2 linked regions of the Oreochromis niloticus genome follow. The protein of the gene in region 2 binds, or shares a complex with, the protein of the main gene of each other region. Links are inferred from orthologs where the notes say so. Each region holds a gene or a part of one and is shown on either strand. Other genes may lie near its edges.

The links. The genes of interacting proteins can lie anywhere in the genome.
Region 1: the proteins of gle1 (region 2) and nup42 are in contact, whole or in part, in a crystal structure (PDB 6B4I), measured with the Homo sapiens proteins. The link is inferred for Oreochromis niloticus from reciprocal best matches to the Homo sapiens genes GLE1 and NUP42. Residues at the interface, in NP_001003722.1 of Homo sapiens: Ile385, Ile593, Leu598, Asn599, Trp602, Arg603, Ala606, Gln607, Leu609, Asn610, Gln636, Tyr637, Gln638, Val639, Gln640, Lys643, Met644, Ile646, Leu647, Glu650, Asp651, Tyr652; in NP_001357375.1 of Homo sapiens: Asp185, Asn186, Val187, Leu188, Phe189, Gln202, Phe203, Gln204, Ser205, Lys206, Lys207, Phe208, Leu210, Gly211, Lys212, Ile213, Pro214, Leu215, Lys216, Pro217, Pro218, Leu222, Leu223, Asn224, Val225.

What each region holds. Positions count from the first base shown.
Region 1 is NC_031985.2:25,558,883-25,566,671, forward strand, and holds the start of nup42 (nucleoporin NUP42), read left to right. Parts: upstream 1-4,780; 5' UTR 4,781-4,893; coding exon 4,894-5,059; intron 5,060-5,896; coding exon 5,897-6,182; intron 6,183-6,300; coding exon 6,301-6,389; intron 6,390-6,475; coding exon 6,476-6,552; intron 6,553-6,745; coding exon 6,746-6,832; intron 6,833-7,173; coding exon 7,174-7,276; intron 7,277-7,587; coding exon 7,588-7,789. Other genes in the region: gasdermin-E, read left to right, coding at 598-719, 880-1,000, 1,109-1,179, 1,719-1,946.
Region 2 is NC_031977.2:33,266,134-33,273,798, reverse strand, and holds the start of gle1 (mRNA export factor GLE1), read left to right. Parts: upstream 1-4,655; 5' UTR 4,656-4,742; coding exon 4,743-4,841; intron 4,842-6,118; coding exon 6,119-6,355; intron 6,356-6,460; coding exon 6,461-6,619; intron 6,620-7,069; coding exon 7,070-7,218; intron 7,219-7,324; coding exon 7,325-7,385; intron 7,386-7,665. Other genes in the region: outer dense fiber protein 2, read left to right, coding at 1-133, 276-376, 570-732, 1,952-2,077, 3,069-3,215. UniProt on the Homo sapiens protein: Required for the export of mRNAs containing poly(A) tails from the nucleus into the cytoplasm. May be involved in the terminal step of the mRNA transport through the nuclear pore complex (NPC).

The DNA of each region.
Region 1 (7,789 bases), on a different chromosome or scaffold from region 2:
CCGCGATAAACGAGGGACAGCTGTTTACAGATACTGAGAAATATAAAATTTGAATCCCTTTTCTCTTTGATCTGAGGCGCGGGGGAAAAAATATCGACAACTCGATGAACATCATTTACAGATATATTGGGTAAATGCCCAAAACATCTATAGAAATGTAAATCGCCGCTTGATTCATTCATTTGCTTATTTTGTTTGGACCGTAAACAAGGCGCGAATAGGACACCGGAAACAAAGCTCCCCACAGGAGTTTCCGCACCGGAAGTAGCATATGCTAACGTGCACACAGTCTATTACTTGTTGATGGAAAAAATATAACAAATGAAACACAGTAGACTTATGACAAACTGAGGAAGGTTCCTTTTTGTCCCAAATACAACTGTTATTTTGTCTGTCTCAATGAAATGTTGCCTATGTCGTTGCATTTTGTGGTTTAATCTCAAACATTATAGCTGAGCTGACTTTCCTCAGTAGCAAACACTGGCACTAAAACTAGCTGTAATACCTAAAAAAATGATTATGACAATATGAAAGAACAGCAGTCACATGTTTATAATAATCGATAATAAACAAATAGTATCTTCTGGTTTGTTGCAGAATCGCAGGAAAAAGTCCTTTCTCCTCTGGCAAAGCTCCCCCAGCCGACCCGATGGGCTTTATTCAAGAAGCTCCAAGAAACTCTGAGTGACAGAGCTGCTCTGTCATATCTGCAGCTTGTGGTGAGTGAAACTGGTATTGCCCTGTAGACCAGATGTTCGTGGTGACCACTAGCCAGTCGGCTAAAATAATCTGTCTCGCGGTTGTGTGAATAAATGTGTAACCACAGCATCCCAAAATTTTTATTTTTCCTTCTAATATTAAGCCCTTTTTCTGTGTCAGCTTGAAGATTTGTGTAGCAATGAAATACACAATGGGACCCCAAAAGAAGAGCAACCCAGTGCAGAGAGTCCCACTGAAAGCACCCTAAATGCAGCATACCTGTTGGTCAGTGCCATGGAAGGTAAGAAGTTACAGACAAAAAAAGATCAGCATACAAAGCAGTGGTGCAGAATCTTTTGCTTTTTAGTGGGTTTAACCTCATCATGTGCTCTGTTTAATGTTTTTATAGAGTTGCCCGATGAAACTCTGGAACTTCTGAGCAAGAGCGCTCCTGATTTTCTGCAGGCCTTCAACATGCTGGTTAGCTAACTTGTTTCAGTTTAGTACACATTGTTGGTAATGATTGGTACCATGATTAGTACATTGGTGGTTGAGTTAATTCAATAATTCAATATGTACGCAGAACACACTCACACACAAAAGAAAACTATGTATTAAAAATAAATTTTACATCTCTAAACATGACACGCACCTGTTTAGCTTAGTATAAACGGGGAACTAGCTAGCCTATCTCTGTTCCAGAGGTGTCAAAATACACACCTATCTGACCTTCTAAAGTTCACTTAATAATGTTATTTCTACTGTATATATTTTTTACCCCCCAAAATTCCTTGTGGCTTTCTGGAGGCTTCTTTAACCAGGCTAGCTATGCTAAGCTAACTATAACCAATTATGGGGTTTTAGCTCTATATCTAATGTTATGACATGAATTCATAGTATTTATTAAGCCATTTCATCTTTCTTTATGTTAGTTCTTTGAGGAAAGTAGAATTAGAATCTGTAAACCAGCATTTTGCAACAAAGAGCTTGTCCACTGATCCACCTACCTATCTCCCCAGGTGTGCAAGCTAAAGACCAGCGATGTTCTCAACATTCAGTCTCTTCCTGCCCTGCTGCAGGATAACCAGGCCTTTCAGCTGGCAGAGCAGCTACTTTCCTCCACCAGTGTGATGCTAAGGAGAGACGCTGACCGCCTGTGGATGGAAACCAGAGATAATGCAGGAGTCCTCCCAGTGGTCCTCTTCCTCAGCATCCATGGATTGTGTTTGCTCTGCAATGCACTTTAATAGTTGTAGTGCCTGAGTGTGCACTCCCTCTTCTTTTTTATTGATTGTATTTGCACCATTTCTTTTTTTATTGTAAAATCTTATTACATGTAAGCTTGCTATAGTTTGTTACAAGACTTTTTCATATTATCATCATTATTGCTTTTAAAATATTGCTTTAGATTTGTTACAGAGCAGGGGAATTTTTTTTTCCTAAATATGTTTTTATTATTTACAACAAACATTGTATAACATGTATTTTGAAAAAAAGAAATATATATTGATAGATAGTGATTAATTGAAGGATTTGATATATTGTGGGGCAGCTCTGATATGATATATTGTTTCATTTTCTTACTTTTCACAGAGTTTGATTAGACACCTTAGCAGGGTTCTTGAACTCCAGTCCTCGAGGGCTGGTGTCCTGAAACTTTTCCATGTGTCCCTGTTGCAACACACCTGAATAAAATTAGTAGGTCATTAGCAAGAGTATAGAACTTGATTGCATGCTGACGTGGCAACCCATAACCCTACTCAAGTGTTTGGAAAAATGTACTTCTAAAAGTACTTTTATTGCACCAGATTCATTCACTCATGAGCTGCTGTAACATGAATCAAATGCTCTTGCTAATGACCTACTAATTGTATTCAGGTGTGTTGCAACAGGGACACATGGAAACATTTCAGGACAACGGCCCTCGAGGACTGGAGTTCGAGACCCATGCCTTACAGTAATCTGTCCTACAAGTTCAATCCAGACGTTCTTATCTGCTAGTTTTTGGTACACAATTTTTTTTATTTTTTAGTAAATCTCATCTTTTAGAAAATTTACTAACCAGGGATCACTTGAAAGGCGATTAAGCTAAAGGCAGTTCAGATTTCTCAGCTCAAGAAATGTTTACATGTTGATGATTTTATACGGAAGCGTAGAGCTGCCACCCAGGGAAAAGAAAAATAGAGCTATATCACATTATAACGTGACAAGTTTATTGATCTAACAATATACTTTACATGTTTGTACAATATACCTTTCACATTTGAACAACATAATATCACGTTATTACAATAAACATAATTATCACGTTATAACAAAAAAAGTTTGTACGAACGTGATAATTATGTATATTGTAATAACCTGATATTATGTTGTTCAAACTTAAAAATTATATTGTACTAACATGAAAGTATATGTAACAAACAAGAAAAGTATATTGTTAAAACAATAAACTTTTCATGTTATAATGTAATATAGCTCTATTTTTCTTTTGCCTGGGTGACAGTTCTACACTTCTGTAATTTTAAGCTTTTCAGTTAACATAAAAAATTGAAGTTTGTTCCATGCCTATGGTATGTAAAATAACTAGCCTTTCCAAATCTATGTTGTGAAAAACATGCTACATGCCAATTCATGCTAGGATTTTTAATTTTAAATGGTACGGCATTGTATTACTGCTCATCTTAATAATCAAAATAGATTTATACTTCTTTTTTTTTTACTTAAAGAAAGCTTTATTTTTAATACTCTCTTGAAGACCAGACTTTGTTAAAACAAGCTACACTATAAAATACAGTAGTGACATTTTTAAAAGTAGTGCTTTTATTAAGAAGATCATGTGTTTTCATATATGACCTATACATTTTTATGACATTCCTTTTCCCATGACCTTACTGGTACTTACTTTCTAATTTATTGTTAAGAAAGACTATATTACTAGGCTTTCAAAGAAAGTGTTTTGCATGTAGTTGTCTGTATCAAAGTATGTCATTTTGATAACACAGAAAGCAAAAATAAAACTTTTATATTTTCCGTGAATTGTGTCCTCCATAGAAAAATAAATGTGATGCAAACTACATTTTATTGTACATGTTTAGAGAAAGTAGTGCATTGTGGGATTCCTGTGTTGAAAACAATAAACGATCATCTTTTACATTTACATTTTTGGAAATTAAGAACGAGTGTGGTGTAGTAGCTGTGTATCAATGGGGTATGGATACAGATTATTCACACCATTTCTAATTATCTTAAATTAGTGTTTACTTATTTATTTATTTTTTTACATTACAGTAAGCACCGTAACTTTCTTATAGTTCCACCATAGCTTTTAAGGTTACTATTTACTGACAGCTACAAACTGTAGGTAAGAAAGTGTTTGACATCTTCAGTGTGCTTTTTTTCATAGGTTTAAAAAGTTTCTCCAACTCTGAGATTCCAAACCACAAAGGTGTGATATTTGCTGTGTATTTTGGATTTTAGTCAGAGTTTGTGCAAATGTTTAATAATTATTAAATATTCTAAGGTCTTACAAACATTAAATCACTTTTAACTTTAACATTATTACACATCATGTTGTAGCTGTAATTTACAATTTTTTAAAAAGTGATCATTTTAGCTGAGTCATGTTTGATAAGATCTTATGAGTTAGTAGCTGAGTGAGTTATTAGTAGTTGTGACATCATTTAACAACATTTACCAAGGACTTTACCATACTTTACCAAGTACAAATACTTATACTACTACAATTTTCAGGTATCTGTACTTCACTTGAGTAGTTCTTTTTCTACATTTTTGAACAGATATCTGTAGTTTCTACTCCTTACATTTTGTCAAATAAAATAAAATAAAAATACTGATATTTTTTTTTTCTTTGGTAAAGGTTAAATTTAAAAAAATTGAAATAAAATGTATTTTTAATTTATTATTAATTATTTAATTTCTTCTTCTTCTTCTTCTTCTTCTTCTTATTATTATTATTATTATATAACTTGTTAAAATTAAAAAAAATATCTGATAGAGAAATTATCTAGTAAAGAAATTTAAAAAAAAGAATCCCACCCGAAAAAAAAGACCACGTGGGACAAGCGGTGACGTAAATCTCGTGCGACCGCAGTTCAGACGCGGCCACAAAATATTGTCGAGTGGAAGTGGGGTTTTTTGGGCTCTAAAAGACGCCTTTAGCACCTTTTGGAAATGCCAGTGTGCAACTTCTTTCTTCAGGGCCGCTGTCGTTACGGCGAAAAATGTTGGAATGAGCACCCAAGAGGAGGGAACAGAGGAGGAGGAGGTGGTGGAGGATACAACAACAACTACAGCAACCGCTCCTCTGGTCAGCAACAGCCCAGAAGTGGAGGTGGAGGTAACGTCTTCGATAAATTAATATTCATCTAAACCTACTTTCAGTTTCTTTAGCATTCTTCTTGTGATGTTTTCGCTCTCTTAGCTAGCTGTTGTTAGCCTTCCTTTTCTGTCCCACTGAATTGTAGGCAAATTAAGTTTGTTTCGTGGGTAAGGTATTTGAACAGTGGGCTGAGATACAAACACATCCCGAGGCCGAAGCAGGATTTGTGCTTATCTACGTAACTTAACCATGGTGTTAACCCTGGATTTTCAACTGTGGTTCATTTCTTACTGGGGTGTGTCACCGTCATGCTAACTTATGTAGAAATGGAAGGGTAGCCTGAGTATGTTGAACTCACTTCATAGCACGGGGCCCAGTCAAACATATCAACTCTGTTAAGTTTTAAGTATGTCAACAACTTGGCAAATGGTGTTTTTTTTTTCAAACTTGAATGGGCATCACAAAAGAGGTTTTCCTGTTATTCAGACGCCACATGAATGCACATTTAGTATAGGAGGGATGGGTAATGTTACTGTGTCGTAGTTTCTTTTCCAATGCAGTTATACAATACGCTGGAAACAAATACATATTTTACAAAGGTCAGGTGTGTGCTAAACAACAGCAATTTAATTTCATGTTATCACTTCATGAGACCTCGTGGTGGTTATCAAATGAATGAGTGTAAAGCAGACAACCAGCTTGCAGTAAAGAAGAAAGTCGAGGATAAAGCTAACCAGAGAGCTAATAAAGTGATTTAAACAAGGATTAAAATGGGTTAATAATAATGATGCACTATGGAGTGTATTTTACACAATTTTTAATGCTTTGTGACACTGGTTTGTATTTTGATTCCAGGGTTTGGAAACAGAGTCTGGGTGAATCCTTCCCAGCAAAAAGGAAACTACATCCAGCCTTCATCCTTCTCTTCTCACGGAAGTGACGACTGGGGTCATGGAGGAGGAGGTGGTGGTGGTGGAGGGCGAAGAGAAAATGTGAAGAGCTCCGACTTTAGTTTCTCAAGTCAAAACAGATTTTCAGCTCTTAATACTCCCAGCACCTTTGACAGGGGAGGCAGGGGGGGAGGAGGAGGAGGAAGGGCAGCGGGAGGAACAGTTGGTGATGAAGACGACGACAAAAAACTGTGAGTCTTTATGAAAAAACAAAACGTTCTTTTTTTTTAATTTTTATTTTTTATTTATTTATTTATTTATTTATTTTTAATCAGTCATAAGAAAATCATTGTCATATTTGTTATCTAGGGAAGTCATTCAGATGGACATGGATGTTTGGGAGAAGTCTGGCCAGTGGGGATTCTCTTGTTATTATAGCTTCCAGACACTTGTATCTGGTGTGTATGAAATTTTTCATTTTAAATGTATATTTTTAAAAACTGAAACACTGGACCTGAACATGTTTCCTGTGTTCTGCCTACAGGTTTCACTGACCTCTCCCCTGAAGAGCTCCGGCTGGAATACTACTCCACAAGAGCTTCAGGAGATCTGCAGGGCTACGTAAGTGCAGTGTTCCTTAGTAATGTCATGTCTGTTTGGCTTTGGGTCAGTAGTCATCTTCTTCGTGGATAGAAGCATGGCGCCAAGTCTTTTTGTTATTATAATCAAGCTCTAATTTAATATCGGAAGGCAAAACGTTAAATGTGTTTAAGTATTTCTAAGAGTATAAGAAATTCCTCTTGTCTGTGCTTAGATGAATGCCATCAATCAGCTGCTCAGTCAGTGGAAAAACAGAGTCCAGGAATTGAAGATTATGAATCCAGCCACTCGTGCGGCACTGGTAAGACACACAGATGCTCACAAACACCGCTTCCCAACTTTAGATCATTTGTTACAATTCCAGAGTCCATAACTGGTCCCTAATGAGACGTGAAAACCAAACAGCACTGAGAAGATGTGTTTAGATTTTTAGCATTAGGTTTGCATGTCAGCAGTGTGCAGCAGTGGAAATGTATTAAACGAAAATGTATTCTAAAAGTTTCCTTCTACTCTTTGAACGTATCGAACACCTGGTTTACATTTAATGCTGAGGTTCTGATTTCACACTAGCATTGCTCCTGTCTGTTTTGGGGCTTTTAATTCAGTGTTTTATTTTTTTTACTTCATTTGTTTTCATTGCAGCTTGCAGAATTAAATGGTGCTGCACCTCAGGGATCTTCAGGTGGGTTTGGTTCGACAACAGCAACTGGATTTGGAGCCTCCATCTCCAGCTTTGGAAGCAAAGGTAAAGCTCAACGATTTCTTTATTGTAGCAGTTAATAGTTCATCGTGCTATATTAACCCAAAACACAAAAGTGTTTCTGACATAAAATAGCCAGCGGAATAACCTTTAGTTAAATCATAAACTGTCTTTCCCATTTCTAATGAGTTATGATGCTTGAGCAGATTTTACAGAGACTGCATGTAGTTTAGTACTACTTTAGTAGTTTAGCACTAAATTAATCAAAGTGTAGGTTTTCAGAATTTGATAATAAAATGTATTTTGTGAAATTATCCATCACTCCATGATAACTCTAAATCCTTCTGTTCCTGCAGGTTTTGGTGCGCCAGCACCAGCCCAGGCCAGCGGTTTCAGCTTTTCTGCTTCAAATAGTGGATTTGGCTCTGCAGCCACACAGTCATCTTCAACAGGTTTTGGTAACATCTTAGCAGCCCCCACACAGCCTCCCTCTGGGTTCAGCGCTGCGTCCTCCTCTGCACCTTCAGCTTCAAGTTTCTCCTTCGCCTCTAGCACCAC
Region 2 (7,665 bases):
CAGAGAGCTCGAGACTCTACCGGACAGATTGAGGAAGACCGAGCAGCAGCTCCGAGAAGCCCAGCAGGAGGCTGACGCACGTGAGAGGAGGAACATGGAGAATAACTCCGCCCTCTCTGAAGTCAGGCACAAGGTAGAGGTTTCATTCGAACCCAAAAGACCCAGCATACTTACAAATCCGGAAAGATTAATGAGTCTGATGAATATAATCCATGCACAGTGTGTCCAGGAACCCGTCATGGCTGACATGTTCCACTAAATGTTTTCCTTTGCAGGTGGAGCAGCAAGGCACTCAGCTGGAGACGCTTCAGCAGAGGAACCTGCTGCTGCAGGAGGAAAACAACGTCCTGAAGGAGAAAGTGTACAACTTCGAGAGGTAACAGTCACAGAGAAACTGCATTTAATGGACATTATTCTATTCAAGTTTATTTATATACCGCAGAGCCAAATCACAACAACAGGTGCCTCAAGGTGCTTTATATTGTAAAGATCCTACAGTAATACAGAAAAATCAGTATTATATCTGATCTTTTCCAAGCTGTGACACTAGATTTGTGTGTTGGTTGCAGGAGGCTGGAGGGCTTGAAGGCAGAAAACAGAGAGATGTCTCAATCTTTCGCTTCGAAGGAAGCCAGTATCCGCAGCATCCAGCAGCAGCTGGAGGAGAAGAGTCACGAGTGCAGCGTCCTGTCCAGACAACTGCAGCAAACTCTGGACGACGTACAGAAACAGGTACGGACACGTGGAGTCACAGAGGTCTCAGAGTTCTACAAAACATCACGCTCCAGAGGGGTGAATGGGTTAGTGGTCTGCAATGAGCTTAAAGCCAGAAGTGTCAGTATCAACACGGTGGCTCTCCTTCAACTTTTAAACAGCTACCAAGATGCTGCTGAACTGGTTGGTGGTGGGGTTTGGTTCACATCTACCTCACCCAACAAAAATCTTATAACAGAGTAACTGTTAAAGGAAATGCATGTAAGATAAATGATTTGACAAGTAGCATCACCCATTATCCTGGACTTCCCAAACTCTACAGTGTTCAGCAGTGACCTGGCGGATGTTAAGAGATTGCCATGGTTACTGGTGCTGAACACTTAAGCTTTTCTGAAGCAGGTCATGTTTGGAGTTTTGGTTTAAAATCAGCTGGAGGCTCCTCAGTGTCACTAACTCTTTTATTTTGATTTAATAGCTTTTATACCCGTCCCTGGATAGGGAGGGAGGGATGGATGTTTTATGCATGCACACTGTTGATCTGTATCTCACTAACGTCACTGAGTGAAGTCCTGCTGTGCAAACACTGACACACAGCTTGCACGCATTAACTTGGTGATGCAGAAGGTGTTTAAACTGCTGTTAAGTCTGCAATTAAAGATGTAAAAAATTTAGACTACAACTGAGATTAGAAAATCAGTCAGTCGACTTTGTTACTAGATACATTACTTATTGCAGGGAATATAAATCAGTAAATTTAATTTCACATTGATGTGGTCAAAAAATCGAATGATTTCCATCTCTCCTTCATTGGTCTGTGGGTCAGAGTCAGAGCTGAACACAGCAAGCAATCTTTAACTTGAGTGGTAAAACAAATGTATTAACTTATGATTGAGCAAAATTGTCCTCAAGTCAATTAAATCAGACTCTTTTTATATATTTGCTCGATTAATGCTGTTAGTAAGGTGTTAGTGCTGCTAATGTGGGTGAGGCTCAACACTTTGGTTGGTGTTTCTGTTCTGTGTTAAACTGATGATCCAGATTTTACACCTCCTCAATGTGAGCAGTGTCCACGTCCACACTGACTACTGATCATTGAGTTGAACTGGGGTAAAGACTAAAGCTTTGATTTACATGTTTGTACACACTCACTAAAGATAATGTCAAAGAAACTAAATCATCAGTTTTTCCCCGGAGGATTTTGGTGCTCATATGTTTATTTTTCATGTTCGGCCTTCAGGTAGACGATAGCATGCAGAGGGTTTTAGCCAAAGAGAGATCGTCTCAGTCTAAAGCCCTGGACCTTCAGAGCCAGCTGAGCCGAGCCAAAACGGAGCTGAGCCAACTGCAGCGAAACAAGGAGGAAGTAAGTCACCGATGAATACTCTGCACATGCAGGCAGGCTTAGATAAAACCAAGAGGCCAGCACAAACGTATGTCAGGAAAGCTCCTTCTGGCCCATTTGGGTCAGTGACAACAGTTCCACCAACCTTCTACAGCAGTCAGCAGAGGAGGTGTTTGAAACCTGTGGCAAACATGGAAAAAGGTGGAGCAGGAGTCACTTTTCACGTTTCGCTCATTTGCAAATAAAAACATAGTTAGGACCACGTGTTCACATAAAATATTTTAAGATTAAGGCCATCTAGCCTTTCAAAAAAAAGTTTAAAACACAGCAGCTCCTCCGTCACAGCTCACAGAGGAGCTCCAGCCTCGCGCAACAAGTGGCAACATGACGGAGACAGCGAGCTCAGGTGTTGTGAACGTAAATGTGTTTTCAAATTTCCAGCAGCAGCGCTCGTTACTATAATCACTATAAAAACCTTCACAGGTAAAAAGCCAATCAGGGTCCTTCGTTAAACCACCTGTTCAGCAATCATTAACATAAAGACAGTCATCCTTTCAGCTGCTCGCTGTTTCACACAGCAGAGTTTCAGGATGAAGAAAAAGCATGAAGAGAAACTCCCAACTCGGTTTCTCACTCTGGAAATCTGGAAGTCTTTGTAAACTTTGCTGCAGGCTGACAGCAGCTGTCCACTGTCTCTCTCTCTCTCTATTTCTCTTACTCTGGTTCATTGTTAATTATTTACCATCAGCTCCTGACCCATAAATGCTTTGAAGAACTTGCTGTTGCTGTGACATGTGTGTAAATTTGCGCATCACTCCTGTTTTTTTGTCCAAAGACACACAGAGACTCTTATTGCTTTCACTGGTTTTGTCCTTTTTGTAAATCTGGGTAGATTTAAGGCAGCTTTGGTACTGAAACTGAAACATCACATGATAATGATGCTCAAAGTTGTACAGGGGGGAAAAAAGGTGATGTTGTGATGTAGGAGTGTATCCCTGCTTTTGTTTCCCAGATGGAGCGACGCTTCCAGAGCCAGCTGCAGAACATGAAGGAGAGGCTGGAGCAGTCGGACTCGACAAACCGCAGCCTGCAGAACTACGTCCATTTTCTCAAAACCTCCTACGGAAATGTGTTCGGTGACTCTCTGCTTGGAAGCTGACAAGCAAAATTTATCCAGCCTGACCAGCAGTGATCCTCCTGAACTATCATACGGGCCATAAACCGCATTTATTAAAGGTCTGCTTTTGACTTTGTATGAAATTAATAAAATTGAATTTATGGATAAATTCTCAGTTATTAGTTGCCTAAACATTTTATTTATGTATAACTTACCAGTAACTTAGTCAGCAACTGCAGAGCCAAGATAAAAAGCTCCAATAAATGTTTTTATGATTTACAATATTCTTGCTGATTTACAAACATAAAAATGATGTGAGGTATATATTATAGCATTTTGTATTTTACACCAGAGTGTCATTAAAGTCAACGTAAAAAAAGAAAAGGAAAAAAAGACTTGTTTCATTTATGTTAGGAGGTACTTTTGGAACATTCTACCTGCATTGTAAGACTACAATGTAGAGAAATTGGACTACAAAACCAATGTTTTAGTTCACCACAGCATGTTTTTACCCTGTTGTTTTATGTGTGTCAGATAAACGAGAAAAGCCCGTGAAATATATCAATACAAAGACTGGATGTTTAAAAAAGAAGGAACATCCTGATGTTTGATGTTTGGTTCTATATGTTTTTTATTTTTATTTTCAGTTTCCAGTCCTATGATATCGGTGCGTAATTTGCACCCATGGATGGCTCAAACCTTCGAGTCTGTTCTGAAACGCTTACCTCATTCCTCATGCTGTTCAGAGCCAAACCCCACTTTTTTCTACTCCTCAGTACTACTTGGATTTTTATGAAGCAGCAGAAATGAACTCGTTTCTTGGTAGAATGCTGATTAAGTAAACTGGATAGTCGTATAGAAATTGGCCTATAGCGCAATATTACTAGAGAACCCTGCGATTGCACAATACGGTAATTTTTAATGAAACACATCTTATTTTCTTATGTTTTCCTGCTGAGTACTGAGCCAGTAAAACCCCTTTCTTCTTCCTTGTTTAGGATTTCTATGACTGCGAGTCAAACATCACAGTAAACATTAATTCATTATAATCCTACAGGCTCGAATGCAAGAATAGACCTTATCAATCCAAACGGAGTTATACTGAACCTTGAAAATACTTTGATCAGTTAATATAGCTCATAGTCTTGATTTAGAGAGTTTGTATAAATCTATGTTCTTCACGCGAAGCAACTGGAAAAGAAGCAGATTTTCTTACAGCAGTTCAACTGTGAATTATAGGAAGGCGTTTTCTAATTTCCTTTCTTAATAAAGGAAAGTGAACCTCGGGTTACGTCACTCAGGAATCTTTCTAACCAAAACGGACTGTGGGAACCTAATAAAGAAATTATCATAGTTAAATATTAAAATAGTCCATAATAGAGTTATCTCTATCATTTTGTAATGTGTGATTATACAGATGGCAAAGAAATAAATATATAAATGTCCCAGATGGGAACTTAATAAAGTCTGGTGGTTTCTCTTCGGATTGTATTTTATGTAACGCCGTATGTCGGATTCAAACTTGGCTAGCATTACTGCTAATCAGTTGTAGTTTTTTTGTGTTTCGCGATGCCTTCTGAAAGTCTACGATGGGAAACTTTGCAGGCCTTGAAAAATTCACCAAAGGGGAAAATCTCCTTCGACCCGTTCTGGTTGGAAAGGGGAGAGGTGAGTTGCCGCCAGGTAGCTAAAAAAACAACTAGAGCTAGCTAAACGGTAGCTAGTTAAAGTTAGCACGCTACGCTTGTTTAAAATAATCACTACAAGGGTGAGTTTTATTCAAAGTGACAATTTAATCATTTAGATCAGGCAGTAAGACTTCAGCTCAGAGGCTAATCAATAAACAGTGGTTGAAAACAAAAGGTTGAGAGGCATTTACGCAAATAACGTAGTATAGTTACGTACTTTTTATTTTTAATCTTCAGATATCCGTTTATGGATTTTCTTCAAATGACTACTTTTATTACTACTTTTATTTGACAGATAACTAATGTGACTTCCGTTTATAAACTGTGAAGCCTATATATACACCTATATAGGTTTTTATGTACATATATATATATATATATATATATATATATATATATATCTATCTATATCTCGCAAAGACCGCGATTAAAATTGGCTGCAACTCGAGGTGTGGACGTGCACAGCAGAGTTGATCATTGCTATTGAACCCTGCTGCAAACACTAACAGTATAACTGTATTTAATTATTACTTATTGCTAATTTTTCTAACCACTTCATCAGTAGGACTTTCTTTGAAAGGTTTTTATTCTATTATTTTTTAAAAGAGCAAAGTTTATTTTTATTGCGCTTTTCGAATTTGGGAGGCTGAATTCCATTTTAGTTTCCAGATTTTGACACAAGGGCAGTGGACAATAGTCAACTATAATTCCGCTCTTCTTGTTTGCGGTGGTGACATGCAGGCTGTCAGATGAGGTCAGGCAAGAGTCTCTGTACACTGTGAGGTTCACTGATGACATTGTGAGACTGTAGTGAGGAGGGAGTAGGTGGCGGTATAGGGAAAAGGAATGTGTGTGCTTGAGAAGGAGACGGGTGCAACAGTTTGGATGTAAGGAGCAGAGGTAGTGAAGGTAGAGGAGCTTAAACCATCCAAAGAAATGGACAGCACACAAGAAAGGGGAGGCAGGGGGACGAGTGTCAGGGGTGATTTGAGACAGATTTCTGTTGTTGAACTCCATGTTTATAAAAGCAGAGGTATGAACTCACTGATTCCTCATGAAGGTGTTTACATGTGTAAGGCTTTACCTGATGTTTTTACAGACAGGGAAAATCCAGTGTGTTTGATGTGTTTTTGTTTTGATTAAATCATTTCAGGCTTTAAGGAGTCCTACTTTCTGAAAGGATATGGCAACATGAGTGATGCATACAGTTTCTGTGCATAAACCATCTCTAAATGAAGCCCGGTTGTGTTCTTGTAGCCTCTTTTAGCAGGTTGTAAAGACTCCCCAAGCTTGTCCCCAATCGCTGGTGTCATATTGGAGCGTCTCAGCTCAGCGCCCCTGCAGAAGTCATTGTCCTTCCTGGGCTCCAGATCCGGAGACTCCAGCCCTGTTCTCTCAGAAGTCTCCATTTCTTCTTCCGGATCTGTCCCCGATGTCAGCGCCAGGACAGCTGCATTTTCTGCAGCAGCGTCTGTAAAGAATGAGCGAGAACAGGCAAGTCCTTAATGTCTCTTATGTGTCATTTTGTTAAATAGTTTTCCAATTTAACTGAATATCTGACCCTGATGGGTTTTTTTTCCTCATGTTGATGCTCTGTAGACTCTTAGTGATAAGGTGAAGGATGAAAGTCCAGAGGCAGATGTCAGTGGAGTTTCCAGTCCTACGTCATTACCTGCCATTTCCCTCCTGTCTCCCAAAGCAATGGAGATGGCTGGCTGTATCATCAAAGTTCAGGAGGAGCATCGAGAAAAGGCTAAGGTTCAAGATTGAGTGTGTTTTTTATTTTAATTTTTTTTAACTGAGAAACAGGTTAACAGTGATCATGTTTTTTTTTTTTAAATTTAATTTTATTTCCAAACCAAACTTCAAATGTTTTTTGTTGTTGTTGGGTTTTTGTTTTGTTTTTTTAACTCCTCTTATGATTTTTGTCAGTAGCAGCTTGTGTTATTGTATTTGTTTGCTTTCAGCTTTTGTTTTTAGAAACTAACATGTAATCTAAACATTATATGAATATGTTCAGGTTTTCTTGTTAAAGTTTATGGAAAAGCATGTAATGTTAGACACTTACACATTACTGGAAATGGGTCTAAACGTCTTCATACTAACCTCTGTTGGCTTACTGATCAGTTATATATTTTGCATGTTGACCCCTGCGTACTATATACTTGGTAAGGGTCTCACTGGACTGTCTTCTATCTGTCGACTCAGTTGGCCCTCAGGGTGCGGCAGGAGATGCAGGAGAACCAGGTAGTGGCGGTGGCGAGTGCCGAGTCAGAGCAGCTGAAACGCTTTGAGGAGCTCATGGAGCTGAAGCAGAGGCAGGAGTACCAGAGTATGAGGGACATGATGGAAAGAGAGTAAGGGGAATCATGAAGCATTTGAAATGGTTATAATGCTTAAAAATGTCTGAAATTTCACATGTGATTAAACACCTGGTCTGGTTTTCCACTTCCTGTACTGCAGAACAAAGGAGAGCATCGGGCGTCAAGAGAAGTTGAAGGAGGAGCAGCGGCGCAGAATAACGGTAAGTGGAAAGTTCAGGAAACGTGAAGCTTAAACCCATGTTTGTCAAGTTGTTTACGGAAGTCTTTAATTTTGCTTGTTGAACTTGCAAAAATTTTGCATGTTCTGTCTCAAAGTTTGAAACCGATTGTGAGGTGCTGGATGTGCAGAGCTCTGCAGCAGGAGAAGTAGATGCTGTTTATTTTTGGTAGTCTGCTGTAGTAATGATCTCCTGCACATACAGGGGAATTTCTTGGGCTTAGTGGGGTAGAAAAAGTTTTCTCGTTCCTGCTCATGCTTTT